Alligator mississippiensis: one gene and its partner. The protein of the gene in region 2 interacts with the protein of the main gene of each other region in a pairwise test. Links are inferred from orthologs where the notes say so. Each region holds a gene or a part of one and is shown on either strand. Other genes may lie near its edges. The genes, in order: QDPR and ANKRD13A.

Region 1 (16,498 bases), on a different chromosome or scaffold from region 2:
CCTGAAGCGATTCAAACAGCTGTTTCCCATAATATGGTAAAAAAAAAAAAGAAGAAATAAAACTATTGTTTCTCAACTGAGAATAATTAGAAGTGGCATATAACAATTGTAACAGACATCAAAGCAAGCAACATATTTTATTTTTTACCTGGGGTTCCAGCTAAAGCAGCTTTGGCTCCTGTCAGAGTCAACAAACCTCCTTCTTTCAAATGTTTTGTAGCTAAGTGACTGGATATAGTTGATGTCCAAACACTCTGCTTCCACATCAGGTCACAATTTTTGTATAAAGCTGGTAAACAAGACAATTACAAGGCAAAAATTTAGAAGACAAAACTCATTTTCTAGTTCAGTGATTCTCAAGCAGATTGCCTGGAGATCCTTTGAAGGGTGCGCCAGGGTGCTATACAATGTTAGCACTGTTAGGTATGCAAACATGAGTCACAAAAAAACCTCCAGAGATTTCAAATAGAAATCTATAGTATTAAAAACATCCTGACCTGCTGTGATCTTTCCGAGTTCACTGCAACAGTGAAATTGCTGTAATTTTCCATAGTCAAAAAAATAGCAAAAACTAAAAACTGGCATTTTCTAAGGGGTGCCTTAAGTCTAAAATAGTTAAGAACCACTGGTCTACTTTAAGCTCACTTCCCATCACACAGAATGAAATAGTACTACATACATCTGCCCTACACCATCTCCTTCCCCTATATCAGCTAAAACCCTCAGCTAGGCCTTCATCTCCTCTCCCCATGCCTTTTGCATCTCCTGTCTCTTTGATTTCCTCCAGTTCCTGCTCTTCAGTACCTGTCCAGTACTACTACCAGACTTCTCACTATAAGAAGTCTGACCACATCCCCCAACCTCAGGGTATTTTGTTGGTTTCCGTTAGTTTCTGGATTCTGTTCAAAATGCCCTAAATTCTTAAAATATCTATGGACTTGCTTCCATCAGTATCACAGGCCTTGAGTGCACACTACACATTTGCCCCAGAGTAATATAACTTAATTTAGTTATAGTGAGGCAGACATGTTTTATACCTTTAGGCTGATGCAAGTTATTCCCTTCTGGGGTAAAAGTATCCCTTAACAAGCGAGGAGTAACTACTAGAAAAACAAATATGTACTTGATCCCCTAGTTAGTTTCATCTCAGGGTAGTATTTTGCTCAATGTAAACTGGCTTCCTCACCACCTCGCAGCCAGCCTGAGAGAGCATCTTGTGTGAATGCTTCTTACTATGGAATAAGAGCCAAGATACTTTGTAGCAAGTACATGGACAGGGACACAGACACCCTTACATCTGTCACATCATACTCATGTCTTAGTCCCTTTGCACAAATTTCACTAGTGACAGAGAGCTTTCTGCAGCTCTTACCTTTTGGAATGATCATTTCAATTGTTAGGGGAAAAATCTCCTGCGTGTATCGCTCAATTTCTCTGATTCTTATTTTTCTTTTAATTTTGTAACTATATTAGTTCACTATGTAATCCTTGTGCAGGATTTCGTTTGAATGATAAAACTGAATAAAATAAAGCTGTGCTGCCTCGCACAACCTGTCATGGTTGACATCTGGTTAATCCATGGATGGGCAATTACCTGGGTGAAGCCAGCCATTGATAGCTTTTTTCTCCACAATACAGATGTTGTTCTTAAATATTTGATATCTGTTGCAATGACCTTTGGGTTGGGCTCTGCAGCGTTATATAGAAGCCTACTTTTGATTTCAACTCTTGTTTGTTTACTCCCTGTAACTTCATAGCCATCAACACTGTATAAATACCAGACTACAAGCAGCTTTTCCCACAGGCTTTGATCATATAAGTATACAAGACTGGATTTAGTACTTGGGTGAAAAACTCCAAGGCATAAAGAGACTGTTCAGGGATATCTTTTGCACATCAGGCAGTTCCTCAAATAGGGATACAACCTGCTTGACATCAGTACTGTACTTGACATGATCAGAATCTGTGTGCCAAACTTGTTGGCTTGTAGTTTCAGCAAAAAGGAATTATGTGAATATAGGTAGAAAATATAAATGAAAAAAATTTAAAATCCAGCAATGATGTGTGTTAGTAATGGTTTTCACATAGCAGTGGTTGGAAAGGGAGTCCTAAGGATTAAGCAAGTTATCTGATTTAGTGTTCAAGGCCAAAAGGTCATATTTCCCTACAACACACCTCTTCAATACATATGCTAAAATGGTATAACAAACAGACAAGATAACCACCTATCCCAAAACATTCCCATTTCACCTTGATATCCTGTTGCCTTAACAGTACTTCAAGTTTCATTACAATCTACTGCCTTATTTACAATTAACTTTTTAATTGTGCAGTATTGGTTCACACCAGATACAAATGCACATGTGCGTGCACATATACCTGTATATTTTTGCAAAACAGTAACAAATGCGATTGTCCTATACTTATAAAACAAAGGATTGCCATCTTTTCAGTGTTTGAGTAGGATGAGGGTGCCTACCTGCCACTTCATTTTAGCCAGGTAGGAATTAAATGTTATTTGACGCATCCAGTCTAGGTACCCAAGTTAAAAAGTACCATCCCAGCATTTGGTAACAAGACATTTCAATGTTAAGCTGAAGGCCTTGATTCATTTTTAAAAATAATCTTAGGTTTGTACATAGCGCCTGTTACTACAAGACATTATAGTATCATGGTAAACCAGCACTGAGGACTATGGAAGGATCCAGATGCAAGGTGTCGGTTCTTTTCTAGCCTCTCTCTCTGACTTGCTGCACAACCTTGGGAAAAGTCATTCACTTCCTGTGCCTCAGTTCCTTCATCTGGAAAATGGATACTGACCTCCTTTTCAAAGTGCTTTGAGATCTAATGAGGAAAAATACTATACGGAAAGAGAAAGCATAATAATTCACACTTACCATACTATTTTAACCACCAAGAGCAATAATAAAGAAAAGCACTTGTAAGTGTTCCAATTTTCACTAAACTCGTTTAAGCAATCAGGCTTGTTTCCATGTGATCACCAAAAAGGAAAGATCTCAGGTTGAAAGATCTTTTTAATGATGACTTTTACAGAATTTTCTAATGCTGCATTAATATATCTGCAGTAATGTATGCAATTAACAGAGGCCTCACCTTTTGCTTTTGCACTCCCACCTGCCCATCCTCCAGCAACGCACAAGATGGCATCCAACTTTTCTTCACCCAGAAGTTTTCCAACATCTCCTGTCACCTTAAACAGATGAAGCAAGAGATCATAAAATCATCCTGAAAACAAGTCACTGAAGTAAAAATGCAAACATCTAGACTACTTTAACACTGCTATTTTGTTTTCCATTATACTGATTATTCAGCACACATGGCATTTTAAGCAGCTGCAGAAAGTTAGGCTTTATGGTTCTGCCTGCTCAAAGCAAATAATAAAAACAAAAAGGGAAAACAAATTAATTAACAGCTGCATATGAGGGGACATCAATGGGACAAACTCACACAGAAAAAGTCCACAAAAATCAGACCCATACTTAGGTTGCTACATACAGACACAGAGAGGCTCTTGGTTGAGTGACAAAAGTCATTCCTAGCATACTATTTAAGAACTGACTCTCCAGATTAGTAGTAGAACTAGTAGTAGATTTACCATGTTTCAGGTAAAGCTGTAAGAAGTGAACAATTATGAAAGGGACAATTATTAAATAGCCTTCTCAGGGATAAAGCTTCTACATAAATGATGGCTGGGTTACACCTGTAGCTTAGGAATTCGTAAACTGTTCTCTGGCCTTTCTTGTCCTCTCCCAAATTTAAGAATTTGCCTGTCAGTACAGAATTTTATGTCTGTGGATTTTACACCAAGAACAGTTGTTGCTGTGCCAGCTACTTGGCACTGGAGACAAAGAGGTTGGTTTCTAGATGAAAAGCCTTAAATAAGACCACATCATTTCTTTTTTAAGCACTCGGCATTAAGAAGAGTAACAAATCTGCGGCATGAAATGCTCCATAATCTAGCTGTAATGCCTTCTGAGTTACAAGAGCACAAAAAAAATTGCACTGGTGAAAGGAACACACTCATACACTGGCAACAAGCAAAACCATTTTTTCAATAAAACAACATTTAGGTCACTATTCTCATGTGGGCAAGCTGAACCCACACATAGCCCTAGCAACTTCATTGGTGCTTTGTGTAAATCTAGCAATCCATCTGCCTCCAGTATATTTCAGGATTTGAACCTAAGAAGTTGGGGGTTTACATGACCAAATTATGAAGTAAACTGTAAAGGTCAGGGCTCCGAGAAACACTGTCACACTGATCAGTCAGTCCCAGTTAGCCTCACCTGCCTCGCAACAAAGGGGTGCCCAAACCATGACAATATTGCCAGTGGGCTAGCTGCAGTACAAAATACAGACTCCTAATTCACCTGGGTTGCAGCAAGCCAGTTATTGAATAAGGAAACCAGATTAGGAGAGGCACAATTCAAAGCTGAACTTTAGACTGAATTCAAGAACATGGGGGTAGAAGGGGGGGTGGTGGTGGTAAATTTGAGGTTTGCCTGCATGCTTCTGTTGGGGCTATGGATTTTTTTTTTTTTTTTGTGATATTAAAAAAGAGGTGGGGGGGAGCTTTAGAGACCAGTTCTATAAATCACAGTGAATGATTACACCCCTGAGCTCATGGGAGTCACGTCCATTCCCATGGCACTGCCCAGGCACCATGGCTCTGGCCACGCCTGTGGCTTGCAGGACCCCATGGCCACTCAAGCTACAGTTTCCACAAAACTCGCAACCCAAATGCTGCACAATTCTGCTGGGGGCAAAGGGCAAAAATCAACCAGGAATCGGTCAGTTTTGTTTTGCAAGTGTGGGAAAAACTGACTTGGCCTATTTGCTGCTTAAAGGGATCATGGTCCAATGCCCACCAAGGGAAACTATAAGCCTCCCTAAAAAAGGGAGTGCCCCGCAGGCGTTGCCGGTGAAGTGGAAAGAAGCCAGTCCCGTTAGTTGGGGCTGAGGCAGAGGACGTGCCCCTCAGACTGCCTACGGGAGCCTTCCTGCAGGCAGGGCACTGGACTGGACTCCCTTAAAGAAGGGGGCTACTGAGAAAGTAGCAACGCATTTCTTGGGGGAAGTAAAAGGAAAAGCAGGAAGGGCGCGAGGCCACAGGTTCAAAATAAGGGGCCCAGGGGTCCTCCAACATGTCCACGGACCCAGTGACAGGGACTGCAGGACCTGGCCTGCCCCTGCCCCTTCCCGCTCCGGATCAACCGCTTTCCCTGAAACCTACCAATTCTGTTTTTTAATTTTTTGTGGAAAAGTCTAGTTGGTCTCGTAAAAGTTACCACCCCGGCCAAGAGTCCCGATTCCTCTTCCCTCGAGAGACCCACCTGCTCCGCCTGCTCCGGGAAGGACTCGCTGCTCTTCACCAGCACGTTGGCGCTGGCCGCCACGTTCTCCGACAGGTCGATGCTGGCCACCCACTGCCGCCGCCGCCGCCGCCGCGTGCAACGAGACACAGGTCAGTGCCTGGCCACCCGCCCCCGGCCCCGGCCCCGGCCCGGCCCCGGCCCGGCCCGGCCCGGCCGCGCGCTCACCCAGCCCCTGTCTCGGAAGTAGCGCACGCAGGTGGAGCCCAGCGCCCCGCCGCCGCCGTACACCAGCACCCTGCGCGCCTCGCCCGCCGCCGCCGCCGCCGCCATGCTGAGGCTCCCGGCCCGGCCCGCTGCAGCGCTTCCCGCCCTCTTGCCCCGGGAGGAGCGGAGCGGAGCGGAGCGGAGCGGAGCCGCTGCGCTTGAAGCTGCCGGAAGTGGGCAGAGGGCGGGGGACGCGCGTCCCTCTCAGACCGCTCACAGCAGCCTTCCCGCGGGGAGGGCGGTGCCGGAGACAGCCCGCGCCCGCGCCCACGCCCACAGCTTGCCCTGCCCCTCCGCTTCGTCAGGCCCGGGGTGGCAAGGGCACGGGGGAGGGGGCTTGTGCTCTGGGGGATGTGGCGGTCTTTTTCGGCCGCGCAGATGCGGTGCTGGCCTGGCCACTGTGCCCGCCTGGCAGGGAAACGTCGGGGATCCGGGTGCACGAAGGCAGCGTTGGCGGGGGTCGCTGTTCTGGCGCGGTTCAGCACCCGCCGGCCGGCCTGCTGGGGCTTAAAGCCCGTTTTGTGAAAATGGGAGGTTGCTCCCTAGCTTGCTTTTGCGGCGGGATGGCTGAGGGCAAGCGAACCCCGAGCCTCTGGGCCTGGGCCCGGGCCCGCCAGCAGGATGTCCGCCAAAGGGTTTGGAAGCATCTGAAGCCCCATGCGGGGGTGGAGGATGCTTGCTATTAGCAGGGCCACATGTGGGTCTTGAATGACTCAGGGATCTGGAGTCGATTTGGCTGATTTGACTTGGGACATGAAAAGTTTTCCTAAAAAAAAAAAAAGAGAGAGAGGATGTGGCAGGAGAAATACCATGACCATGATGGTGGTAAGGAAAATACTTTGACCGAGGTAACACAATTAATATGGCACTGGGTAGTGGAGGGTTGCACCCTTGTTTGCTTGCAGGCAGGACTCCCTACGAGAGCTTCATAGTTAGCGTACCACTGACCAAATTACAGCGAGGGGATCTCGGCTGCACATGGACTGTATGGAAATGGGAGACTCCTCTCTAGCTTGCGCTTGGAGCCATACGGTGGAGGGCAAACGAGGCTTAGGGGCATCTAAACCAAGCTTCCGCACTTGGGCTTGCACATAGGACTCCTGACAAAGGATTTGGAGGTTTCTGAAGCCCCTGGCTGGAGTGGATGACGCTTACCGGTATCAGAGCCACATATGGTTCTTGAATGAGTCAAACAGATTTGGACCTGATCTGGCTAATTTGACCTAGGACACGAAAAATTTTCCTTAAAAAAAAATAAAAAATGTGGCTGTCTGTGGCAAGAGGGTGAGTGAGGTCTGATCCATGGCTAGATCAGGCACTGAGCTGATCCACAGGCCAGTTTGGGCCCTCAGAGTACACGCAAATGCGGCTGGCATTGTGTGCCTAGGACCGGCCCAGAGTGCAGCCATCAGGGTGCACCCCACACCAGCCCCCACTTCCTGTGCAGCATGCAGGGCTGGTCCCTCACACACCACAGTGACACGTGGGTCCACTCCCAGACCCATGGGCAACTGGTGCCTCCTGAGTCTGGGGCGGCGTCAGCAGAGCTGGTGAGCTCCTGCAGATGCCTCCGGCAGTGGCAGGGACAGAGCTGGCAAGGTCCTGCAGACGCCTCCGGCAGTGGCAGGGGTAGATCTGGCGAGCATCTGCAGATGCCACTTGCAGGAACAGCCCTGTCAGGTTTACGTTGAGCACTTGCAGATGCCAGCAGTGGCGGGGATGACTTGCAGATGCCAGCGGTGGTGGAGGCGGGGATGGCCCTGTCAGGAGGGGCATGTGCCCCCCCCCATGCCCTCCTTACTAGTTGCCTATGCCCAGACCCATGGGCAGCACCCAAGACCAGATGATAGGGCCCAGGGCCTGGATCTGTGACACCCCTGAGTTGGTCTATAAAGGTGCAAATTTATCCTGACAGTAACGTTGAAGCCAGGTTTCCATGCCACACTAGATTATAGCTTGGTGGTTAGGGCGCTGTCCTGGGAATCGGAAGATATGGGTTTGGCCCTGCTCAGGGGGAAGAGGACCTAGGGCAGAGGTATCTAACATGGCATGTAGAGCCATTTTATCAGAGCCAGCAGGCTACCAAGTGGGCAGCCAGAAGTTGTAGGGCATGGCCAGGGAGGAGTGGCCTGCTGCAGAATTTGGGGATCTTGAGCCCCAGTGGATATGCCAGTTTGGCAGAAGAGCGAGTGAGGGCTGAAACAGACCCAGTGGCCTTCCGGTCACTTCACCCATTGCTACTGCTGTGGCCCTATCCTCAGTCACTGGCCCTGAGACTGCGCAGCATACCTCATGCAGGAGCTGTCACTGCCATGTGCCCTGTGCCAGAGCTGGAGCTCTTGGTGCATCATGAGGTACATGGTAGCAGCAGCAGCTCTGACTCCAGCATGTGGTATGTGATATACAGCAGGAGCTACAGCCACAGCTGCATGTATGGAGCCAGAGCCCCTTGCAGATCTAGCCTACAAGGAGCCCCACAGTCCGGATCTGACCTGGAGCAGAAAGAGAGTTTGACACCCCTGCCCTACATGTCATGCTGTGCACATTCTTGAGGTCAGTGCAGCTGTCAGTTAGGGGTCTTGGTCCAGGCAGGTGTCTCCCTGCTGGACAGTCTATATCCTGAGATGACCAAAACACTTCCCTTGCACCCTGAATCAGGTGTCTAAACTCTGAGGATAAATGGGAATTCAGACACGCCACTCTGCCTAGGATTTCCTATTGGCCAGCTGTAAGCACCTCTGTGCCGAATGACTATGTGTAGGGACCTACCTGCTGTGAGGTTTTGTGGATTTCATGGAAACTGAAATCTGGGATTGTCCACAAAATCTGCAAAATCAACAAAAAATTAAGAATATAATGCTGGCTCTCCAGTGGGAGCCAGCAGCCCTTGCTGCCAGGAGGGAAAGGTGCTCACTGGCAGGGTGGCACAAAGGGCAGCAGACAAGTTAGCAGCTGCCCCCTCGTCTCTCCTCCCTCTGGGTCCTCTCCGCCAATCAGTGCCTAGGGGCGGGGCCGCACAAAGGACATCCAGCAATCAAAATGGCAGTTGCCTCCTCACCCCTCCTCCTCCAATCAGCACCGAGGGGTGGGGCCTCTCTGCCAATCAGCACCAAAGGGCTGGGCTGCCACAAAATACCCACAATATCAGCTCTGTGCACCATGAGTGGGTTGCAAAAAACCGTTTGTCTTGCTGTGATTTAGGTAGGTCCCAAATTACATGGTCTGGATTATCCTTGGAAGGCATCTAGGGGTATGGCCAGATTTACATTTGGAACACTTCATAGCCAAAGCACTCCAGCTTTAGCCCTTGATGAAGCAGTGTTAAAATTGGAGGTTTGTATTTCCCAATTTGTCCACAAGTAACAATTAAAACTTAACAGCTGCTGCCCCTTTAAAATGTTCCTCTTTTGAAGCCACTCCAAATATATGTGTCCGTGATCTAGGTCTCCCATTCACTGTATATAAAGCTTAGTTGTGTAAGCTTGTCAATTTGCATCAAACTCTAGACATAAAGCCCCTAAATTTAAGGCGCTGCCATGCCTTAAGTACATTTTGTATTGTGTCTGAAATGTCTAATACATTTTTAAAGTGCTTATATTCCATGGTCATGGACACAGTATAACAATATAGACATAAAGGTTAAAACATAACTACATAACCATTGAAAGCTGTATTGCTTTGAGACCTCCGCTGACCGTGAAGACTTTGTTTTACATCTCATCCAAAAGACACCACCTTAGTAATAGTGTGTTTCCACAACTTGTTTGGGCTGCAGTCAGTAGGGTGTTGGGTTACCTACTTCAGAAGGATGTTGTGAGAATTAATTAATTAATAGTTGTAAAGAGCTTCACAGTCCTTGAGTGAAAGGCAGTAAAGAAGTGCAAACTATTGTCGCTTTTCAGTCCTATCTGATAGCACTTTTAGCCTGTTGTGTCTGTTTCTGTATGTGCCTGCATTAGCTCCATTGCTAAAATATATTAAAAAGAATGTTGGCATTTGTCTTTTTTCAAGCATAAAGAATTGTTTTGCATCTCATTTTATATTCCAAAGATTAATCTAATAACAAGTCTGTGCAGCATCAAACACTATTTATATACTTCAATTACCAAGCTTGGAGAATGGGTTATCATTTTCTAGTTTATGAACAGTTCTGATAGCAGGGACAGTGCTGACATTTAGAAAAAAAAAAGCACCACGGCAAGCACCAGGAAAAAGTAATTTGATACAGCTGAGATGACAGCAGAATTCAGGTGCCAATAATATATTTTTTATATTCTGTGTCCCTTGCCCACAAATATTTAAAATGTCATAGCAATCTAAAAAAACTGGATCCTTCATCTAAGTTTCTTCTATGTGATTATGGTAAAGAAATAGATGTCATTTGAGTATGTCAATTAAACCTCTGATGAAACAATAGTCGTGCAATAGATATAGGATTACTTTCTGCAGAGACAAGCTCCACTGCACTACAGTGTAGTGAAGTTCTTCTTTGCAACCATTTCAGGATGTTGTCGCAGCAAATCTACATTTCGGGCTTGATTTTTAACCATTCAGTTTAGCCTCTGGAGTTTAAAAGTGCAATGAGATATAAAAGTCTATGTTTTGAAGAATTTGCATCCCACTTGTGGATTTCTAAGCATCAGAAAAATGGAAAATATATCTAATTACTGCAGAGAGGCCTTGGAGAGGATTCCTTGAAACTACTAAGATGCCTGGCTGCTTTAAAAAGACATTGTTTGCACTGGCTTCTGCAATGAGCTTTGTGTCTTTTATCTTGATTGTTGTTGCGATGGGAACCCAAAAGTGGATAACTGGAAAAATTCTTTGTAAAACAGGAGCTGACTTGGTCAATGCCACAGATCCAGAACTAGTCAAGTTCACTGGAGATATTTACTATGGACTCTTTCGTGGGGGCAAAGTACGACAGTGTGGGTTGGGTGGGCGGCGGTCCAAATTCACACGTAAGTAAAGTTTTGGTTGAATATATTGAGTGATGTGTAAATAATTTTTAAAAGCCTTATAATTTTTTTGTTTATCATACCCATAGAATGAAAATAGTTATTAAGCTCACATCTATAGTTCATTCTACTTTGGGTCTTTATGGTTTGAAATATGGGCACAAATTTCAATGTATTTTCGGGCTTAATTTATTTATATATTTTTTTCATTTATATTCTTGGATATGATGCCATATCACTGTAAAAGCAGGATTAGAAAAAATATTTCTTAGAACTCCGATGGAGATTTTCTTGTAATTCCCATGTAAAGGCTGGTGCCTACTTCTGGCATACCACAACCACCTTTGTAGTAAGTACTACTGAACCAAAGGAATCTTCCAGTTGTTTTTTACATGCTGCTCTCTAGGTACCCCATACTACACATGCCGTGGCAAATATTCTGGCTTCATTTTTTATGGGTTGGGAGATATTTCCATTTCTTCTTGATAATTTTGGAGGAGATGTTGAGTCCTGACAAATCTCAGCTTTCTATGTAAAACCTAGTATTCTCCTGAGGCATTTGCTTTCAAACCGTTTAGAGGCTTGTCTGTACCTTTGGTGGACTACTTAGCCTTCAGATCCACATTAAGGTAGAAATAGCACTGGAGCTGAAGTTTCGTGGCTTGGTTTCTACCTTGTGGATTTTTGACGACCAAATCTTGCTTCAGCTAATCACTGCAGCTAATGCCTTGTCATGCTGTCTTATTACCAGGCACGGCCTACTCCTACCCCTGTCCAGTTTTCTCTAAAGGGTAAGGGATAGGAGGTGGAGTCATGGATGTCTGATCTCTGCCTTTCTCTTATTTGCACTGCTAAGAGAGAGCATTAGGCATGCAGATGTAGTTTACCTACCCATCCATGCCATTATTCATTATTTGGATAAGCCTTGCTGGCTGCTAAGTGGAATGGAGGAAGGGGAGCTTATGCCTCCTTTTGGTCATTTGCACAACTGTGTAGGGCGAATCCAACTGTTGATAAAGAGACTTTTTGATGAATTACTGTGAATTACTAAAATAGACTAGTTCAACTGTGACTCCTGTGATACAGTAGTCAGAGGACCAAAAGCTGCAGTTCTTATGTAAGCCAAACTCCCGTGACCATAGAGTCATAGGATTGGAAAGGACCTTAAGGTTATCAGGTCCCACCCCCCGCATGAATGCAGGATACAGTGGGAGTTTTCCCTGCCAGCAGGGGAGGACTGGGCCTTTAAAAAAAAAATGCAGTCACTTAGTCAATGGATATAGTAGAGATATACCTTTCAAAAAATGAATTAAAAGATCTGTAAGATTAGATGTTATGGACTCAGTGGTGATACCTTTCCTAGAGGGACAGCTCCAGTGTGGAGTGGAAATGTGGCAGTCATACAGATGTTCCAGAACCATTTTGTTCGCCCATAGCCTGCCAGAGGCAAAATGCTTGAGGAGGCCGTAGGAGAGAATACCGTTTCCCAAGAAAAGGAGCCCAAGAGCAAGACTGGGGTGCATGCTGAGGACCTGTCCAAGCCTGGTGATTTCAGGCGCCACAGGGAGGCAGTATAGACCCTTATTGTTGTTTCTGAAATGGGTGCAGAACCCCACTGGTCATTCCCCCAGGGGGACATCCTCTCTGACCCTGTGCTTGAAGAGGAGATAAATAGATTCTCGTTATAGTCTTATCACTTCCCTGAGCAATCTGAAGGTTATACAGGGCTAGATTTAGGGTGTTTATTGTCTTCTCCATCTCCTCTGTCCTTGATAAGCCCCAGTATAGATTGAATTTTCTAAATGCCCCATAGTTCTCTTCTGAGAAAATTTGGTCTTTGGCTCTAAAACAATGCATTTGTGAGGACTTGCAGGTGGGTGAAAGAAGTTACCATTGTCTGGGAAGCAGAGGCAAAATTCACGAGCACCTTGTCCAAGTTAAGGAGTTACTAGAAGTCCTGCATGTGTTACTTCAAAAAATTTCAGACCAACCCTAACTGAATACTCTTAGACAGATGCTCAAGAAAGCTAGCTTTTTCTTCAGCAAAAAATACTCTAAAAATAAATAGATAGTGAAACGGGTGGCCAATATGGTCATTGACCCCCCAAAAAAATTTTGGGTCACTGACCCAAAAAAATGTTTTGGGTCACTGACCCAAAAAAAATGCTCCCAAATAGAAATGTCTTGGGAACATGCCTGGAAAGAAGTCCTAAGGGTCTCTAATGAGCACAATCAGGGTCCAGGAAAAACATTCTATAGATGGGGACTTTGAGCAGACAATGGCTATACCTCTACCTGGTGCAGAGGAAACCTGAGAATAGAGACTAAGACAAATTCAGATCACAATTACCTTAAAAGAAACATTGGGTTGGGAGCAAAGGGATGTTCAGGCACACTGGCCTTATAGTAATAATGTTTTAAAGGTAGGCCAGAGCCTGGAGATTGACACTAACTGGAGGTGTGTACACAAGTTGCTTTTTTTGCCATTTAAAATGCTTTATTGCTGTGACTTAACAGAAGTGAATGGCTTTACAACACTTTAAAATGGGTACAGTGCTGTAAAATTAACCCTTGTTAAATGAGGTATTAAATCTACAGTGCTTTAAGTAACTTCTGTATGCTGGTTAGGAGGTACAGAAAAAATGTAGCAGTTCCTAATTTTTAATGCTTAAATGAGTAACCTTAATAATACTGCAACATGTTTTATTTTTTCTGCTGATATGATCAAGGCAGAAATTGCTTGTTCATTCTCATTAATTATTGTGTCTTTAATAGCCATATACTGGGGTTAATTAGATTAATATGCTACCCTTCCCAAAAAGGCCCAGGATGGCTTATCATAAACATAAGATAAACAAGTAAAATAATAAAATAGTAAGTAATAACTCCCCAAATACCCCAAAATTTAACCCCATTTGCTAAAAGCCTGCCTAAATAAAAAGGTTTTACAATGCTTCCACAAGATGCCCAGGGTTGGGCTTGGATGGACCTCAAGGAGGCCTCAGGGCAACTGAACCTACTGTTCAGTGACTGTGGACCTGATTGAGCAAGATACTTAGGGCATCTTTACACGTGCTCCGGGTGTGGGGGGCGCTTTAGTTAGAGCAGCTCTGGGAGCCGCTTTAATTAAAGCACTTACAGTATCTGGTATATTCAGCCTCCCCACACTTCAAAATGGTGGTGGGGGCTTTAACTAAAGGTCATTGAATGAGCTTTAGTTAAAGTGCCCCCACTGCCATTTTGAAGCGCACGGACACTGATACACAAGACATGGAGGCTTCTGGAGTGTGCCAATTAGCACACTCCACTGATGCGGTGTAATTAAAGCATGTCAGAGCAGTGTCCCTGCATGTATACAGGCATCCTTAAGTACATGCGTAATGCTAAGTATAAATGGTTCCAGTAAGGGGCCTTTAAATACCTTGCTGAACTGTGGGTCTACTTGACTCAAAGAAAGGAACCAAGTTTTTCATCTACACTTCACTTGTTGCTCATATAAGTTTGTTGAGCAGCAGGCAGATAATTTAGTTTGTAGCTTCAGACAATACCACTATTATTGCTATAAGTATAATATACATATATGTTAATTAAAGCTCATGGCATGACATTTCGATCTCAATCTGAACTCTCCCTAAAATTCAGGAATATTTAGAGTTAGAATTCTGGCTGACGCTTACAATAATGATAGGACAAGCTGGGAAGATCAAAGTGCGTGAAATTCAGATTTGGTGCTCTTGTTTGGGTTTACTGTTTAATAGACATAATATACAGTAATATATTTTCCAGTATAGTCTCATATAATACTGACCTTAATAAAACTAGGGCAAGAATACATGAGCCTGCATCCCTGACCAACACAAGTACTATAAGAGAATACTATTCTCAGGTAAGAACATCCTCGTTCCTTTACTTTTGCCATCTGATTATTCAACCATCACAAACTAACACAGCTGTTTCTACAAGTTTACTTGTAAATAAAGTCCTATTACAGTGAGCATAAATCAGTTTATATAATCAATATAAGGTTAACTTTTAATAATCAGAAAAAGGTATATGCTGAATAACTGAATATTTTTTCTTGACAGTCTTCCCACATCTGGTCAAAAAGCTGAATACAGGCCTTCATGTGATGATTATAATCTTCCTATGTGTCGCCATTTCTTTTGCTCTGATCAGTTTTGGATTCTGCATTCTCAACATAATCCAGGTTCCATATCGAGCTATTAAAGGTCCAGCAGGTATATGCCTATGGAATTTACTTGCAGGTAAAATAATTTTTACTACTGTGAATAAATGGTAACACTAAATTGTGTCCACATGTTAAAACCTCTTGCTTGTCCCGTATGTACATTTCTAATAAAAGATAAATGTTTGCATTGAATTTGTACCTACTGTAGTAAAATTAATACAAGGCATTTCAGATGCTAGTATAGGTTGTTCTTCATGAACAGAAAATTCATATACAGCCTCAATATCAGTTGCAAGAGCACTTTTATAGCAACATAAGAAAGGTGCGATGCTTAATCACATATCTAATAAAGGCTACAATAGAGGAAGACCCTTAAGCACATGTTAAGCACATCCCCATTCTGGATACCCAATCATACATTTAACTTGAAGTGTGTACTTAAGTCATGTTCTCCTAAATTGGATCCAACACATCCGACTTGTTTTGAAAATGATGATGAATGCCTTTTTCATTCTGTTGCAGGTGGCTTTACAGCATTGGCAGTCGCTAGCTTTATAGCAGCTGTTAAACTTCATCATCTCACAGAAAGAATTGCCAATTTCCAGGAAATTTTTCAGTTTCTAGTCTTGGAGGAACAGTATGAAGGCTCTTTTTGGCTTTGTGTGGCAAGTGCTACAGCTCATGGAGTAAATTTGTTGCTAATAGCCCTAAGTGCAATTCGCTTCCCTGAATTTAAGACTAAAACAGAAGAGGCAAATGTTACAGCAGAAGACATCATGTACTAATAACCTTCTCCATCATAAAATTAGTTTTTTTGAAGTTAACTGTTGTGATTAAAAGCAGCTCCTTGGTTCTGTAATTTTTTTTATTTGGATGGAAATTCTGGTTTCATAAACAGTTAAATTGCTACTGGCAGAATACATAGTATTTTGAGGCCAGTTAATGGTACCAGCAATAGCATTGGCTGGAAAACAAACTACAACATCCGCACTGCTTAAAAGCTATCCAATATGTAAAGTAATGCAGTTACTTTCTAGAATGTTTCCATCTTTTCAAAAATCTGAAGTAAAATATGATTTCACAAACATTGAACAGTGCTCTTTAGTTAAGATAAAGAAGATAACTGTATCATAATACATTGGCTTCCAAGCTAATAGACTACAGTCTTATTGCACAGCATAGAGAACAGATCCTGGACTTCTGTATTAAACACAATTGCAAATTAGTTTCTCAGATTGTTAAAAAAATCTGAGGGGACCAATGGAGTACCCTATTCTTATTGATGTACTGAAGTTCTAGAAAGGTAAATTAGCTAGGAGACTGAAATCAAACTGGGAGCACATGACTAAGGGCATACAATAAGATTTTAAAAATAAAAAATAAAAGTCAAAAGCCAGAAACTAGATAACCTAAAGAGTATTCTGACAGATATATTGGCTCAGGCCTCTGCCAATTCTTGTTTTATCTGAAAACAAATGAAAATAGCACATATGAAACACTATTAAATGAAAAACTTTTTATTAAGACGCTTATGTGTGGCAAAGTTTTGTTGGTTGTTTTTTTTTAAGAATACTAATACCACCACAGCATAAGCATTTAATCAGTTGTTGCACCATGACTGCAGAGTTCTGCAGGCCTTAAAGCAAACATGACATTTCTAGAGATTCATTGCCACAGAGAAGCAAAATAGATTCCTAGACTATGTACAGATGATAGTTACAGAAAACTAGACTTAAAAAAATTGAGTTAAT
Region 2 (16,202 bases):
ACATTTAAAATTAAATTTAATAATTATGGCAACCTATTTTAAAACTGCTGAAGCTCTAATGCTCAAACCACCACAGTAGTGGAAGTTCCTGGCTAAAACACTGGGAACAAGTTTGCTGAAGTATTAAACCAGCTTTGACAACAATAGTTTCTTATGCGGATGCAGAAACTTTTTCTTCAGTTTAGTTTTTCAAGCAGTTCCTGTTCCATTCAAAGTTTAGAAAATCATCTGGGAGCTAAAAAAAAGGAGGAAATCATATTTTTCCTTTTCTAGTTTATGAATAAAAAGCAGACGCGAGCAGATGACCTCTCAGTTCTAAAATCTGGAGATCAGTTCTAAAAAATAAAGTAACATTATTTTCAGTTATACTTTTAAACTTAGCACCTGTCCCAAAAGGTTTGGAACACCCTGAACATCTGATTTCATTCTGAGCTGTAAGTGCTTAATACCATTCAGATGAAACTGTTAAACTAATATACAAAATTATATTTAAAAAAACCCCTACTTTTTAAATTACATAGCTGACATTCTGTAAATACTGATTGATAAAAGGAGAGCAGAAGATGGTTGTGGCATGAAATATGGTTTGTTTTTTTTAAAGGCACTACTCAACTTATGACAGATGGATACTGTTAAGGCATGCCTAAGAATGAAAAGATTCTTCACTCATATGTGAACATTCACTTCAAGGTTTAGGTTGCAAAAGCTTTGAAAGATGCTTTAGAATTAAATATGTTTAAACCACATTGCTCACAGCAAAGTTGATTATTTGATCATCAAGGTTTAAAGATCAATGACTAAGAGAAGACGGAACTTCTTCAGACCTGTTCATATAACAACACTTTCAACCATATTTAAAAACTGAAACAAGATCAGCTTCACTTGCCCTTTTGCCACCTTTGTCACAGCTGGTCAAAAATAACTGCATTTTTCCAAAACGTCTCCTGCAACTATAAAGAGAATTTTATAAAAATATTCAACTTACTGGACTTTATCCTGTGGGTTAGCTTTGCGCCTTCCACTCATAACAGATGCTGGGTCTAGCAAAGAATGTTCCCATATGGAGTTAGCACCATTATTATACAGTGTTTCAACCATCTGAAATTCAAAACATGTACAACAAGCATTAAGTATTTTTACTGCTACTTGCACAGACAGGATAACCAAGACCACACAAATTTCCCAGTACTTTGCCAGTACACTTCCAGTGCAGGCATGCTATCAGCAATATCTTATTTTTAAACCTATTAATTGAAAAACTCTTGGCATTCTTTAGGGAAAAAAAGATGAACAGGATCACGTGAACAGACCAGAAGAGTAACAGATTTGTCCAGTTCTGTGCTAACGTCTATGACTAAAGGGAATGTCAGGAGTGGCTCCTTTGCATTCACAAGTAAGAAGCCCTTCCTTCAAAGGCCAGAGATAACAGGCTGTGCACATGAACTTAGATTTTCTCCAGACAAAATTGCTGAAATCAACACATTTTTCCAAAACGTTTTATTCTGGCAGAAACAACATTTTTAATTTAAAAAATAGACCACAGAATTCCTGATCTGCAGACTCCAAACCGCTACAATATGCATGCTGTAGAAAAGTGGTAAATTCCATATATTTAACCACCTGCTAATCAGGCTACAGACCACAGCCAAACTGTCTGGATTAATAGTGTATGGGTGGGGTTAGGGTCAAGGTAAGTTTAAACTAAAAGAACAAAGCTGCATCTGTTAAAGTGCTGGTAAAGGATCTTTTAGGATATATAAGACAGAAGCAGTGAGAAAGCAGAAATGAAAACAGAAAGCCTAGAATTAGATCCTCCCCCCACAGCAGTGAAGATTTATGCTCTTGCCAACAGTAGCTTTGGGGAAGAGGAAGGGTTGCTGCATGTTGATAACTTGCACTGAAACACCTGCAGTAATCTAAAATGGCTTGAAAGCTACTCGCTAAACCAAGAGAATTTTAACTGTGCTTCAGACTTTCCATTTATCCTAGATGCAAGTCAAGAATTTCACAGGTAACATTTACTTTAGTAATGCACTACATGGGGTGTTAAACTCACTCTGGGCCTGGAACCAAATCAACTACACAGCTCCTTCCAGGGCCAAATCAGGAGGCTGCGTTCAGGTAGCAGCATGGGTCTGGTCTGTGGCAGTGTGGATCCAGGACCATGGGACTGCAGGCAGCTGCATTTGGGCAGTGCTGAGCCAGGGGCTTGAGGAGACACAAAATCTGGCCAAAGGCAGCTCCATACCAGTGCACATCCCTGGCTCCATGCAGATGCCCAGCCGAAGCTCTGTGCTGCTGCGTACTCTCAACTCCACGCTACTGCACACCTCAGGCACTTGCAATGTGCTAGTTCAGCACTGCTGCTCGAATGCCTGAGGCTGGCAACATTGCCAGGGGTTCACAACTGTGCAGAGCTGAAGGCATGCAATTCTGTAGCCTGCTGGACTACCAGTGGGCTGGATGCAACAGTTCTGCAGACCGGAATCAACCCACAGGCCTTGTCTGACACCCCTGCACTACAGGAAAGGTAACAGAAACCAAGCATCTTTTAAAAAAAAGCTTAAGGGAGCAACCATCCTCCCAAGAAAGTTTAGTTATTACAGAATTCTCTAAAATAGCAAGTCTCATCCTTTACCTGCAGCAACGTTGGAGGCCATGGTGTGTGTTTGAGATGCCTCACTTGTGAGATATGACGCCCCAGGCTCCGATGCACGCTACAGCACTCATCACAAATTAAAATCCCCCGGTTTATTGATGCCCAACAAGGGTCTGGAAAAGAGTTACACATGTTATAACACGGAGACAAACAAGTTCAATGGTAAAATGCTACTCCTGGTTTTCTAATTTATTTGCTATATGAACTTGGGCAAATCACAACCTTCGCAGACCTCAAGATGTTGGAGGAAGAATGGGTCTTGTATGTAAAGCGCTATATTGGGTTTCAGGAGATCTGGGTTTTATTTCAGCCTGCCACACACTTAAGACCTTGAAGAAAACCACTCTGTGGCCTCAGTTGCTCATTTGTAAATAGGACCCCCTGTCTTCCTCATATCAGATCCATTGTAAGGCTAAAACTAAGCAGTTCCCAGATACTGCTGTGATGAGTTCCAAAGAAATGCCAGTAAAGAGCAAATTCCTACCCTGCTATCACAGGAAACTATATCACATAATTCCCTTAATACACTTAACAAGTTCCTTAAAACCAACCAGATTTCTTGCCTTATTATTCCTACTAGACAGCTACTGCTGCAAACCATTTGCAAATTGTTCACTCTTATAATTGAACATATTCAGCTATCACTCAATACTGGCCACTTGGTCACCCCTGGTTGAGCAAATAACCCTCACAATTCATGGCACAAGTAGATTTTAGTAGAGATTTGGAAAAAAAAATCCTACTGAAAACTGGTAATTTAGAAAATGCTATCTATGAATGAAAAGTAGCGTTAATGAAAGCAGGCAGACATTTTTGGTAGAAGTTGTCAAGTATTCATCAAAGCTTTGCATCAGTGGCAGAGGAAAGGAGTGATTTAAAAACTGAACCTGATGCAGTGGAACCAGAACGAAAGTGGAAGGATTCAAACAGGGGACTGTCATGGTAGCACAAATGAGCCAAGGCGACGTTCTTTGCAACTGATGAGTGTTGGAAAGGTCAGACAGGAAATGGACACAATCACTAATACATGGACCTACTTATGGGCCCAAATAAGAGCTTGAGAGGACTGAAGTGTTAGGTCTGGAAGTTTTTGGAAGGAAGCATCAGGATTTTCACAAACCTGGATGTGCCAGGACCAGGAAGATGGAGGAGTGGGAGAAACACTACAGGTAAAAGGCCTGAATCACTAGTAAAAGGGGAATTGATAGCATGTGCTGAGAAAAGAAATGGTTAAGAATTTAATTTGCCTTAGGAGTTACTGGATTAACTAAAGGTGTTACTTCAAACAGATATAGTTAAAAATCACACACAAAAAAGAAGCGCTGCCTTTTAAATTCAATTTAAACACAGTTTATACAAGTTATCTTAAGCTTGGGGGACAGCAAGTCCCAGGCAGGCCACAGATAAGAGGTGGAGATGTCAACTTACACTAAACAGATAAGTGAGGTTTAAATTGATTTAAGTGTCTACACCATGTCTTGCTCTCATTTAACAAACCTGTTTGGGGTTTTTTCCCCTCATTTAATTTACAAACAGCCTTGAACAACTTTAAAATTCTTTTGATTAAACACTGGATATAGACAAGTTTAAATTGATGGCAAGATATTAAGGAAGATACAGTGGGGGAAGAGAGGGCAAGACAAGTTCTGCTATGCTTTCAGTAGCACTAGAGAAGAATTCAAAACAGGAAGTAAGACATGATCAAGACAAACTTGCTAGTTGTTATCAACAGACTTTGAAAAGTGAATCGTACGATTATACAGAATGCAAAGTGTGCTGATAAAGGACACAGCATCGCCTCATGTCAAAACGAACAAGTAGGGATGGAGTGTTTTGTGGCCACGATTAGCCAAGAGATATGCAAGAAGCAAGGTTTTTTGGGTGATAGCTTTAATTAGATTAACTGTACAAACTTGTATACAGCTGGTTCAATAAAAGATATCACCAAAAACATTTGCTTTTTGCCGTACAAATGTAAGATATTATTTTGAGGGGTTTATAAGGCATGAGTGAACAATTATTTGTCAAAACTAAACAAAGGAAAAATGGGCCAGGGAAAAAACAAACTGCTGTACAGAAATTCAAGCAATACTGTGGTAGTGATAAGTCCCTCTATGTTCAATACATTTAAGCAGCGTAAAAGCAGCTTTACAATAGAATTAGGATAGGACTGATAACATGGGACATATGGTTGTGACATTAATTACTGGGTAAGAAGAAGGGTAGAGTTGTGGATATATCAACTCTGGAATCTTCATTTATGATGCTAAGAAACTGAATACAGTAAATCCTATTTTCCAGAGTCTTTATCACCTAAGGAAAATGGAGATTAACCCAGGGGAAGAAGGTGGGCATCCATTTGTTTTTACAAAACTTTTGAGTATTCAGTGTTTACCTGTATAATATAATCTTGTAATTTATTTTGGTGTTACATCTGTCACACCATTGATCTTGAAAGAAGCACAGCACAACACAAAACACAGAGCATGAACTGCATAAACCTGAGAAAGATGATTTATAAGCTGGGGTAGAAAAGATTATTATGAGTAGATATAAATGAAAGAATGACAAATATATCTGAAGTTTAAAAAGAGAGCGTGCCTTCTGGCATTCTAAAAATCGTTTTTAAATAAAGTTTTCAGAGTTTCCCCAGTTAGTCATTTGGACCAGTCTTCTGACTTATGTGCATAGCTTTACCCATTTGAGTTGTTTTATTAAAGTTAACAGGACTGCCCAAAGTACAGCTACACATGTACATAATTACTTGCAGGACTGAGGCCTAGAAGTATTTCTAAATATTCCAAAAGCCAGCTCAGCTAAGGTGACTTGAAGTCAGCATCACTAGTCTAGTGCAGGAATCCTCTCCAGCAAAACCAAGAAGAAACTGACTAATCTAATGTCCCTATTCAAACCTCAATGAAATGTAACATACACCACAACAGAATCAACTCATTTAAAAATTGAGACTCTTCAGTTTTAACAATTCCTTTTGCTATTAATGTCACTGAATATGTTAATTTTATCTTGCTGATGCCCCTTAAATAAAAAGTACTCAACTATGTAAAACACCACAGCGCTAAAATTAAGCAGATGTCATCAACCTGCGACTAATGAAATCCAGAAATCCAAGCATAAATTCAATAATTGTAAACTGCAAGTTGTGTTAAAGGGCAACAGCTGTCAATAAATTCTTTGTTCCTGGATGCAAATTCAGTGTTTATCCAGTTTGCAAAGCAAACGTCTCATTCCAATAAAGGATGGAATTGCTGGTGGAATATTCGGATTTTATAGAAATTAGATTCATGTTTAAAAGGAAATTCAACAAATCTCATTGTCATTTCTAAGCTCACTATCAGAGGGGTAACTCTACGAATAATCTCTTGCTATGCTAAATACCAATACTTCTGCGCTGGATGTTATTTTAGGCCATCTCACTTGCTGGAACACAACTCTCCTCTGTGCTTGCTCAGCCTTCAAGTCTATAGGTCACTAACACACAAAATGAGATACAGCCCACACTTGTTTTAAAGGGACAGTGAACAATACTTAGCACTCTTAAAATTAGTGGACCCCTCAATTGGAGCTACAGGGAATATTGCTGGAACTCACATTTTCTGATATTTTGAAGCAGAAATTAGGACTATGTATTAGACTCTGGAAACCTTGTCAATAAACCTGACTAAGGGATCAGCTTATTAAAACACTGCCCTACATTATTTCTTTTCTAACTAGTGTAGGAGAGACACCATGACAGAACACTGCCAACAAGCTCCTGACCACGCTGAACCTCCATCCTATGAATGCTGAAATTCACCTCCAACAAAGCCCACAGGATTCTGGCCTTTTTTCTTACAGTTTGACAACTCACAGATGGCTTATCATGCCAGTCATGTATTTAACTGAGTTGTCTAGAAGTGAAACTCTCTTGAGCCAGTACTGACACACAGGAAAGTGCAAAAAGGAAGCACAAAAAACAAAAAGTAAGATTACAATTCTAAAATTCTTCCATGTTAATACTATAAACATTTTAAACACAGGTATGGGAATGCACTGAAAAGGGGGACTTATCTGGACAGCATCCTTATAAGAGGAGTCACAGAATTAATTGTGCCATGATTGTTTAAACGGTTTGGTAAATTCCACTTATATCCATATTAGATAAGTGCAAAACTCCTTTAAGCGTATAACATGATGCCAGTCTTAACATTCATCCTAGCGCTTGTATTGCAACAAGCACTTAACATCACTTATCTGCACAGGTCAGCACAAGCAGCACTTATCTGTATACGGATAGATGTGTAAACCCACCAAAGTCCACAGGAACTCTTCAGCGTTGCTGTCTGTTTTGACCTGGGACTGCGTTTCCTTTCCTGGCATCACTGAACTGGGAGTCACCAATTCCCAGGCCTCTTCTTCTCTCCTATCCTTCATTTCCCCCTTTACACATCATTAATGTGGCCGAGCCACACAACTGCTTTATCACTGACGCTTCCCAGGTCCTCATCCTGGTGTGCGGGCGCGCTACACACGGGAGGAGTGGGTCAGCAGATTCACATATTGGACTATCCTTTAAACCAGTGGTTCTTAACCTTTTTTGTACCAGGACCCATTTGTCAACGTCGACGGTCAATTCTGACCCAGTACCTCTGGGGCAGGGAGTGGGTGTGTGGGGCACGTGGGTCCACAAGCAGCCCTCCGCAGCCTGCGAGGGAAAAGCCAAAGCTTCCCACATTTTTCCCCTTTAAAGGAGAATCCATTTTAAAAGTTTGCATGCAACCCTTTCGTATATTCTTGCGACCCAAGCCAAACTTATAAGGCGCGGCTCCGGAGCAAATCCCGTTTCATTTAATCCACAAGTTGCGGGGCAGCTCGTACGCGGGCTGAGGACGATTCTCCTCTCCAGCGCTTTGATCTCATCCCGCTTACCGTGGTGTTGCTCAAGCGCCCCTAGGCCGCTGCGTGCGTTGCACGTGCCCGTTTTGGGTGTTTACGCCTCACGCGGCTGCGTTTCTTAGCGATTTGTATAGGGCGCGCTCACTCTCTGCTGTCAATTGGACGCTCTTTTAATTGCCGTTTGACTTCTAGAGTCTCTCAGACGCTATATAAAGTGCGCGCGGTACAGCCTCCACCCCGATGCTGTTTTAATTGCCGTTTGCCCTGCACGCTCTCGCTAAACACGACACAAAACGTGCGTGTATAGCCTCCACACTGGGAACACTCCTTTAATGAGCGTTTTACTTCCATATTCGCACTCAGCGCTGTATCAAGCGTGCGTGGTGTCGCCTGCACACGGTCCGTGCTCTTGTACTTGCATTTTCTCACGGCGCGCACACCTCGGCCGGGCCCTGCCGCCGCGCCCGGGCTGCGAGCTGTCGCGGGGCAGTGGCTCCTGGACCCCGAGTCTGGGCAAGCGCCCCCGTCCCCCCGCCACGAGCGCGGGTGCAGGGCAAGCCCGGGAGCACCGTGCTTGGGCCGTTAAGATGAAGGCGTGGTTGTGTTTGTTTCGGTGAGAAGGCAGGTGAAGCGTCCCCCAGGTGTGCGGGCGCGGGCCCCCCCGCTGCAGGCCGCGCTTGCCTGAGGGGAGCTGAGGGAAACCCACCTCCCGGCACTTGCACCACCCCCCGCGCCTACCCTGAGCGCTGCAGTCGGCGCACACCTCGCTGCTCCTCAGCCGCTTCGACATGCCGGCGCGGGCGGGTGGCGGGCGCGGGGTAGGGGGGGCTGGGGCCGCTTCCTGCCGCCCTCACGGGGCCCGGCCAGCAACAGGCCGCACTGCGCAGGCGCACACCAGCGCCGCCATTCAGCAAGCCGCTGGGGCCGGTGCGCGCGCGCGTAGGGCAGGGAGGTGCTCGTCACGTGACAAGTGGAGGGAAGGGAGTGAGGCGACTCAGGAGCCATCTTAGCTCCTGGCACCCGCGTAAGTGGGGCAGGGGGAAAACCGCGGCTGCCCTCACCCAAGATGGCCGCCGAGGCGCTTGGGCGAGAAGGGCCGCCCGGCCCTTATTCAAAGAGGCTGTTAGGAACTTGCCCTCACCCAAAATGGCGGCGCCGGCCACCCGGAAGTCTTAGAAAGGCGGAAGTAGCCGATGAAACCGACGCTTGGGTGCGGGCGCGGGTGGGGAAGCGGCTTCCGCCGCGGGCAGTTCCCTTGGGGAAGTACAGCAGGGTGACGAGCTGCCTCCCTCCCTCCCTCCGCCCGCGGGCAGCGCCGAGCACTGATTCCTCTTTCCCTTGTGGAGTGGAGTGCAGTGCGGGGCCGGCTATGGCAGCCGACGAGGGCCCCTCGCCGCGGGGCCCGCTGATTCGTTCCGGCCCCTGCCCGGGAGAGGAAAGTTAGACGGGGACAGGCGGAGGAGGGGGCTGGGGGAGCCCCGGGGGGGGGTGTCTCTGGGGGTCCCTGAGACGGGGGGGGGGGAGGTTTGAGGGTGCCTGAGGCAGGGGGAGGGTGCCTGAAGTGTGTGTGTGTGTGTGTGGGGGGGGGGGGGTCTCTGAGGGTGCCTGAGGTGTGGGGGTGCTGAGGCTGAGGGGCCTGGGTGCGTGTGTTTGGGGAGGTGAGTGCAAGCAGGGTGTCTGCCCCCCCTCCCCCCGGCCAGGGCTGGGGGTGCCAAGCAGGGGAGAGCAGGGCCCTCGGGAGCGCCAGGCAGCAGGATGAGTTCGCCGGGCAAAGCCAGCAGCAAGTACCCGCTGCACGTCTTGGTGTGGAATAACGACTACCGGCGGCTGGATGCGGAGCTACGCGAGCAGGTAACGAGCGTCCCGTGACGCACCCTCCCCGGGGACGCGGCCGGGTAGCGTAGCGATGCGTGGGACCGTCGGGCTGTTGGGGCTGCCGACGCACTATCGGTGATGAGAAGGGGCCGTTACGGGCAGGCACCGAGAATATGTCTGCAGAGATATCGCCGAACTTGTTAAATGCCGTCTGCTGATCTTGGGTGGGGAGGGTTGGGCTTGGACCCGGAGCCAAAAAACACACAGATGCGATGGGCCTTAATGCTGTCTGCTGAGAGAGGGCCACCGCAAGCCGTGCGCGGCGACCGGTCTGCCGGGACCTGAGCAAAACTTTTTTTTTCTCGGCATGGCGTGCCCGGGCAACCAGTAGCTCACTGAAAACTGCTGCTGTTTTCCTCGCACGCTCTTGAATCGTTCTCTGCCCTCCTCTCCACTGATGGATGCTATGATTTTTGTTTTGCAAAGTCAGTCCTTGCAGGTTAGAATACAAACGTCCCTTTTTCAAGCGTAGTTCTTTGAGCTTTCCAGGTGGAGACTTAGGGTCTCAATAGCTGAGTATGTTTGCTCCGGTGACAAAACGTACGTGATCGTCTTAAACCACCCAAATCTGGTAGGGCAGGTGTAAAGTGGGCACACTATTAGCATTAAAATACAGACAGAAATGGGTTCGAAATCTGTATCGGAGCCCAAGCAGTTGAAATGATCCAGTTGTTGAGTTCAGATATTGCCATTACTGAATTCCAGTGCAGCTCCAAATACTGAGATATACTTTATTAATACACAGCTAAACAGCTGGGATTTGTGGCACGGGGCACCAGTTGGCAGACACATAGCCTGTTAATTGTATTGTTCCTGATACAGTGGGTCCATGCACCGAGTGTCAGACAGTGTCACCTTGTGATGCTAATTAGGATGATTGTCTGCACTTTGCTGGTGCATTCTGAAATGCTAATATTTGTGTAAAGCTTGCTTAGGTCGTCTTTTTTTCTTCTTTCTTTGAGTGACTCTTTAGGATGCTGTGTACTGTATCTCTAATTCTTATAATCTTCAGTCTGTCTGCAATATTTCTTTTACTGACACATTGGTTAGGGTGCTCGTTTCTTTATGTTTAAATCTTTATTAAAATAATGTTACCGTCTTTTAAACAGTTGTACCTTAACTGGGAATATTTTAGCGCTAGTTTATTCTGGTGATTTGCATCGTTGTAATTATGGCAATGCAAGCAGGTCCAGCTTCCTGCCCCCAGTGCTCTACAGCGCAAGTAAATGGACTACATTTAAAGGAAGGGAAAGAATACATGCACTAAGCTTGAAGTGTCTTCTTTAAATCAAAGATGTCACTTCTGCATCCTCTGTTCAAACTGCTTCTTGTATGGGACAGATGTGCTGTGTGTGGCAGAGGTATTGAAGGAAACTCTAGCCAGCCTCATGAAATGACTAATGCAATGCACAGTTCCAGGTTAACAGCAGAAGAGAAATGAAGATAACTGATCCAGAATCCTTGTTTTCACTGCATTAGGCACTACAGCTTGGAGAAACTGAGTGAAGATCGCAAGGGCTGCTGTACTTAATCACAGCAGCGAGAGATGAGGATGCTGTAATTCAAACTTTCCTTACTCTTCGATCTTGGTGTTTCAGACTTAATGCTGTCAGATAACCATTTCAATTTGCATAATATTCCTATCTTATTCCACTATTGACTTTTCCCCTTTTCCTTTAGTTATAGATCTTCTTCTGTTTCAGATCTCTAAAGCTAGTAGTGAAAAATAGAAGTAAGGTATGAGTATGTTGTGCTTGCATGTTTTGGGTATTTATGCCTCATGTGGTTGCATTTCTTAGTGATTTGTATAGAATGCACTCACTCTCCATTGTCCTGTGTGTCTCAGTCAAACTGATGCTCTTTTAATTGCCATTTTACTTCCATATTCTCACTAAATGCTATACAAAACGTGCATTGTATAGCCTATCACTCACTTCTGTGATTTTTGGCTGATTTAATGTTTTGTATGTCATGATACCCTCTAGTGGCCACTTTAACTGGTGACTAAATAAATCAAAGTTACAAAGTACAGAGAATGGAACCCTGCCATTTCCTGAAAAAATTGTGCCTGCAGATCAGGAGGGGGGAGGAACCTCATATAGAGCTGGCTGCTTTCTCTGCCTCCCAACACCCCCTTTTCCTCTTACTCCCAATCACTTTTAAAAGAGTCCAGTCCTATTCCAATTGGATTTCTGTGAAAGCCAGGCTTGTAAGAGGACAATTAGGCAATTCAACAGGGGTATCAAAGCAAGTCATATAAGATAAAGTGACTGCAAACCATGAATGGTTCTGTAAGAATACATAATGCATACTGACCCATTGTAGCTTATCGCTGAAAAGCTTTGTATTATCTGTCCTTGGTGTCTTCTGGTGATGGGGTTTGATTGAATGGTCTCAGCATCATTTACCTCTTGGTTGTTCAACAGGATGTTGATCAACGGGATCCACGAGGCCGGACCTTGCTGCACCTTGCTGTTTCCTTGGGATACATAGAGTCTGCCAAAGTCCTCCTTCGACACAAGGCAGATGTTACCAAAGAGAATGCCCAGGGATGGACTGGTAAGAGATTAGATTGCAAGTGGAAATTGTCTGTTAATAACCTTTGCGTTAAACCCAGCACCTCTGAAATCTGGCCCTGTGTGTGTCGTCATGGACGTTGCATGGCTTGTCTGCAACATGCGTGTTGTAGGCGTTCTGCTTTTTGGCTAAAAACAAAAAATGCACCCACCTCCGTGTTTGGGCTTCTTTCAGTTTTGCATGAGGCTGTCAGCACAGGAGACCCAGAAATGGTACACATGATTCTGCAGCATCGGGACTACCAGCAAACCTCAATGACACTTGGAGGGGTTCCCGAATTACTCCAAAAGATTAATGAGGTAAATATTTAATGAAACCTGAGTTGCAGGCTGGTCAAGTGCCCTTTTGGGAGCTGCTAGTTTGGTGTCAGTTAACTTAAATCAGCTTGGGGATCGGAATCAATTGATCTTAAGTCAGGATGATGGGCTATTCAATTCAAAATTACCTCTCCATTAACTCCATGTAAATCCGTAGTAACTTAATTAAGATGGGTACAGTGGAAAAGTGTTAAACTATTGCAGGACAATGTCTTGTTGTATGCCACCTTATTTTGATTAAATGTACTGGTAAGTTTTATCTGGGTAAATGTCACTGTGGGTGTTGTCAGTGACATCTCAGCCTCAAATGTTTCTTCTTTCTTAAATGTATATGACAAGTCAGAGCTAAATACTGAGTTAATATTCTCTCCATTTTTGGCTTATTTGAAACACCCATTTTTATGCTAGACTCCTGACTTCTACGTGGAAATGAAATGGGAATTCACTAGTTGGGGTAAGTGTCTTCTACAACCTCTCTTACCTCTTGTAACCAGTAGAAATGCATGCGAGTTTCAGACTTGTTGAAGTAAAAAAGTAGGTTTGCAAAGAAAATATGTATGTAGAACCTTTACTTTCTTCCTTTCTCTCAAAGTTTGTTAAGCATGAAAGATTTCCAGCCTATTTTTCCTGCTATATAAGCTGTTAGATCTTTGTTAATGCCTTTTTTTTTTTAATTGAACCCTATGGCACTTATGTTGGTGGTTGCTGAAGCTTTTCTAAGGATTTAGCTGTCCCAGTGCTTCGTCATACATAAGGTGATGAGGCAAAACTTATGTGGTGGTGCCAACCAATTTAGGAAGCAGTTTATTCCTTCCCGTTGCAAAACTGATTATGTGCATTATGGGTGACTTCTCTTTCTTCCCAACCACTGAGTATTCACCATTGCTGGACAGAGGACAAAAAAATAGCTACAATTAATTATTTTATTTAGTGTCTCATGTCTTGCCATGTTCACCATAAGTGGGGAATCAATTCTGATAGTTCCTCTGTTCTTTGTTTAGGTATCAAAAAACAAACTAAACCAAGAAAGACAGAGGTTCATAGCTCTTGGGACTGAAAGGGATCATTTTGATGATCTACTTTGACCTCTTGTGTAATGCAAGCCATAAAATTTCTTTAAGGAATTCCTGGATCAAGACTAGAACTTCTGGTTTGAGTTTGATCCTCCTACTCCTTTCTTTTCTGCTAAGGAATTTTACATTTGAATCTCTGTCTTTTTCTTTATAGTCCCACTGGTTTCCAGAGTATGTCCAAGTGATATCTGCCGCATCTGGAAAAGTGGTGCCAAGCTTCGAGTTGATATCACGTTATTAGGCTTTGAAAATATGAGTTGGGAACGAGGAAAACGTAGTTTAATTTTCAAGGGAGAAGGTGAGTATTTTTAGCCTGTCTCATTTATTGACTGTCAGACAGCATGAGGCCTACAATATTTTTCAGAGTACATGTTATAATGCTCAGCTTTATTTTCACATCTTTCACAGACTTCTTCATGCTGAGAAGTGCTCCATCTGGCATTTCAAGTTTCTAAGCAGAACAGAAGGGCTGAATTTTCCTTCACAAATTCTTCTGGAGCAAATATAGGAAATCAGATTAAAACTTAACTTTAGAACCACAGAAATAAGCATTCAGCTACATTATAGATAGATATATATATTTCCCAAATGTATTAGGGTCTTTTAATTCTACTTTTCAAATTACTCTTAAAAATGACTTGGCCACCTACATAATCTGCTCATCCATCCTTACTAAGATCATAGTGGTACTTAAACAAATCTATCACTTGTCCCAGACAAATGCAAACCTGACAAAGTTTCCTTTGTCCTCACTTTCATCCCTTGTGTGAGTCCTGGATACCTCTTTACTGAAAGTTTGTAAAATCTAGTCAATTATATCTATTCTTTCAACAGATACTGGAGGCTGGGCAGAGCTAATTGAGATAAACCATGATGATAAGGTTGTCACAACAGAGCGTTTTGAAATCTCCCAACAAATGAAGCGTTTGACATTGGGCTCTATGACTCCAAAAAGGAAGGATGTGGAAAGACGCCTTACATCTCCTATTATTAATACTTGCCTTGATACAAAAAACATTGCTTTTGAAAGGTAAGATATTTAAGCTTTTCTTAATGAACAAATCCTCCACCTATGCAGGATTATGCTTGCAGTATAACTTTAAAAAAAGAATCTTGTAATAGATTATCTTGGAAGTAACCTAGAATAATACCCTAAACTGCATATTCCATTCTGTAGAGAATGAGCTGAAAATCATAACATTTACTTCTGGCCTTGCAAACGGTTTCCATTTGGTGAAGAGTCCTTTTGCACTGTAACACTTGCATTTCTACATTAATGGGGCCAGTTTTAATATCTTCTGGTTTCAGAAATATACACTTAATTGCCAACACAGCAAGAACGAACCATATGTGCAGTGCTGACGCTAGTTCACAGTCTGTGGGCTGACGTTGAGGATCCAATAATAAAGTTTACAGCTTCAGTTTTGACTTTGAGCTTGATTGATTTTTAGCTTAGTCCTATGTAAATGATAGTAATAACTGTACTAATACTGATAGAGAAGATACTAGTTTGATAGTAGAAGCACAGGAGCTACTTCAGTGCTGCACCTTTTTGGAGTGTTATGGGGTATGACAATACACTTAAGTATTGCTGTGGGAACATTGATTAACTTCAAGGCAAAAGTATTTATTAAAACATGGTGCAGAATTACAGCCAGTGTGAAAGATCAGCTGTCAAAGCTCATTGCTTCATTCTATTGGATGTGTGAAGATTTTCTTCCTTGAGTGCTACTTGGGGAATAAAATTAAAACAAAAAAGCCTCCAAATCCTAAGTCCTGCTAAAAGCCAGTGAATTTTAGACACGCCAACATTTACATTGTTTGTGAAAACCACCCTAAAGCTTACTGACAGCAATCAGCCTGGCTTCCCAGTTTCCAGCTGCAAGTTGCCAGATAAAATTAAGCTAGCATTGACTCTGACAGTTGTTCAGTGGTTCAGGAGAGGATGTGATGCTATCCAGAAACTCCAGTTCCTTGTGGCTCGAGCTTTCCTGTTACAATCAGCCTGCTAAATATTAGCCTCTGCACTTCCATGGAGATATGAATAAGAACAGAAATGGACTCAGACTCATTTTTCGGCCTTAGATTGGAGAAAGATGTTTGTGTTTGTTGTACCTGTTTTCTGGGGCTTTGTCTAGTATCTTGCAAACACTGTTTGGCTGAAACATCATTAGAGAAAACATGGGTTGGAGGATAAATAGATATGGCAAGTTGTATATAGATACTTGCGGTGTTCACTTTTTATCAGAACTACATCTGGATTCTGGGTATGGAGGACAGAGAAAGCAGAAGGTGTAAATGGTTATGAAGCAAAGGTAAGAATCAGTTCTTTACAACTAAGAGGTCTAAAGCTAATTGGAGTGCGAATGTGATTGTTCAATATTCCCTGAGTATCTTAGCGTTAAAATCTTCCTTTAATGTCCACAACCGTCTTGATTTGCCACATAAACTGATAGGGTGTGAGACATTTCAGATGGGATGCCAAATACCCAGGAGCTTTGCCTGTGGTTGGGGATTGAAACAAGTGCTGGGAGGTGGGGATAGTGCCAAAAGAAGACGGGGGGAGGCTGGGAGGGATGTGGGCAAATGGCTCTGATCACAAGAGCGTTTCCCTCCAGAATGCGGAGCTCAGCTATTACTTTAGAGTCTCAGCATTCTCACAGTGTCAGAAAGCAGTAGAACCCATCAGCAAAATGTCATCGCTAGCCTTTTGCTGTTACAAGTTCCTTCAGTAGCTCTATTAGAGTAAGACCGGCACGGATCTAGAGTTTGTCTTTCCAATGAGCCATATGGGGGGGAGGTTAGCAT

The links.
Region 1: the proteins of ANKRD13A (region 2) and QDPR interact in a two-hybrid assay, tested with the Homo sapiens proteins (2 studies listed by BioGRID). The two-hybrid records come from large-scale screens. The link is inferred for Alligator mississippiensis from reciprocal best matches to the Homo sapiens genes ANKRD13A and QDPR.

What each region holds. Positions count from the first base shown.
Region 1 is NC_081825.1:34,319,550-34,336,047, forward strand, and holds the start of QDPR (dihydropteridine reductase), read right to left. Parts: upstream 5,764-16,498; 5' UTR 5,667-5,763; coding exon 5,562-5,666; intron 5,486-5,561; coding exon of another isoform or gene 5,448-5,485; coding exon 5,355-5,447; intron 3,212-5,354; coding exon 3,115-3,211; intron 290-3,114; coding exon 149-289; intron 1-148. Other genes in the region: CLRN2 (clarin-2), read left to right, coding at 10,309-10,561, 14,644-14,823, 15,270-15,532. UniProt on the Homo sapiens protein: Catalyzes the conversion of quinonoid dihydrobiopterin into tetrahydrobiopterin.
Region 2 is NC_081833.1:2,080,151-2,096,352, reverse strand, and holds the start of ANKRD13A (ankyrin repeat domain-containing protein 13A), read left to right. Parts: upstream 1-9,154; 5' UTR 9,155-9,307; coding exon 9,308-9,403; intron 9,404-11,853; coding exon 11,854-11,986; intron 11,987-12,178; coding exon 12,179-12,303; intron 12,304-12,729; coding exon 12,730-12,775; intron 12,776-13,548; coding exon 13,549-13,692; intron 13,693-14,228; coding exon 14,229-14,424; intron 14,425-15,642; coding exon 15,643-15,709; intron 15,710-16,202. Other genes in the region: ARF GTPase-activating protein GIT2, read right to left, coding at 986-1,098, 2,639-2,772, 8,291-8,342. UniProt on the Homo sapiens protein: Ubiquitin-binding protein that specifically recognizes and binds 'Lys-63'-linked ubiquitin. Does not bind 'Lys-48'-linked ubiquitin.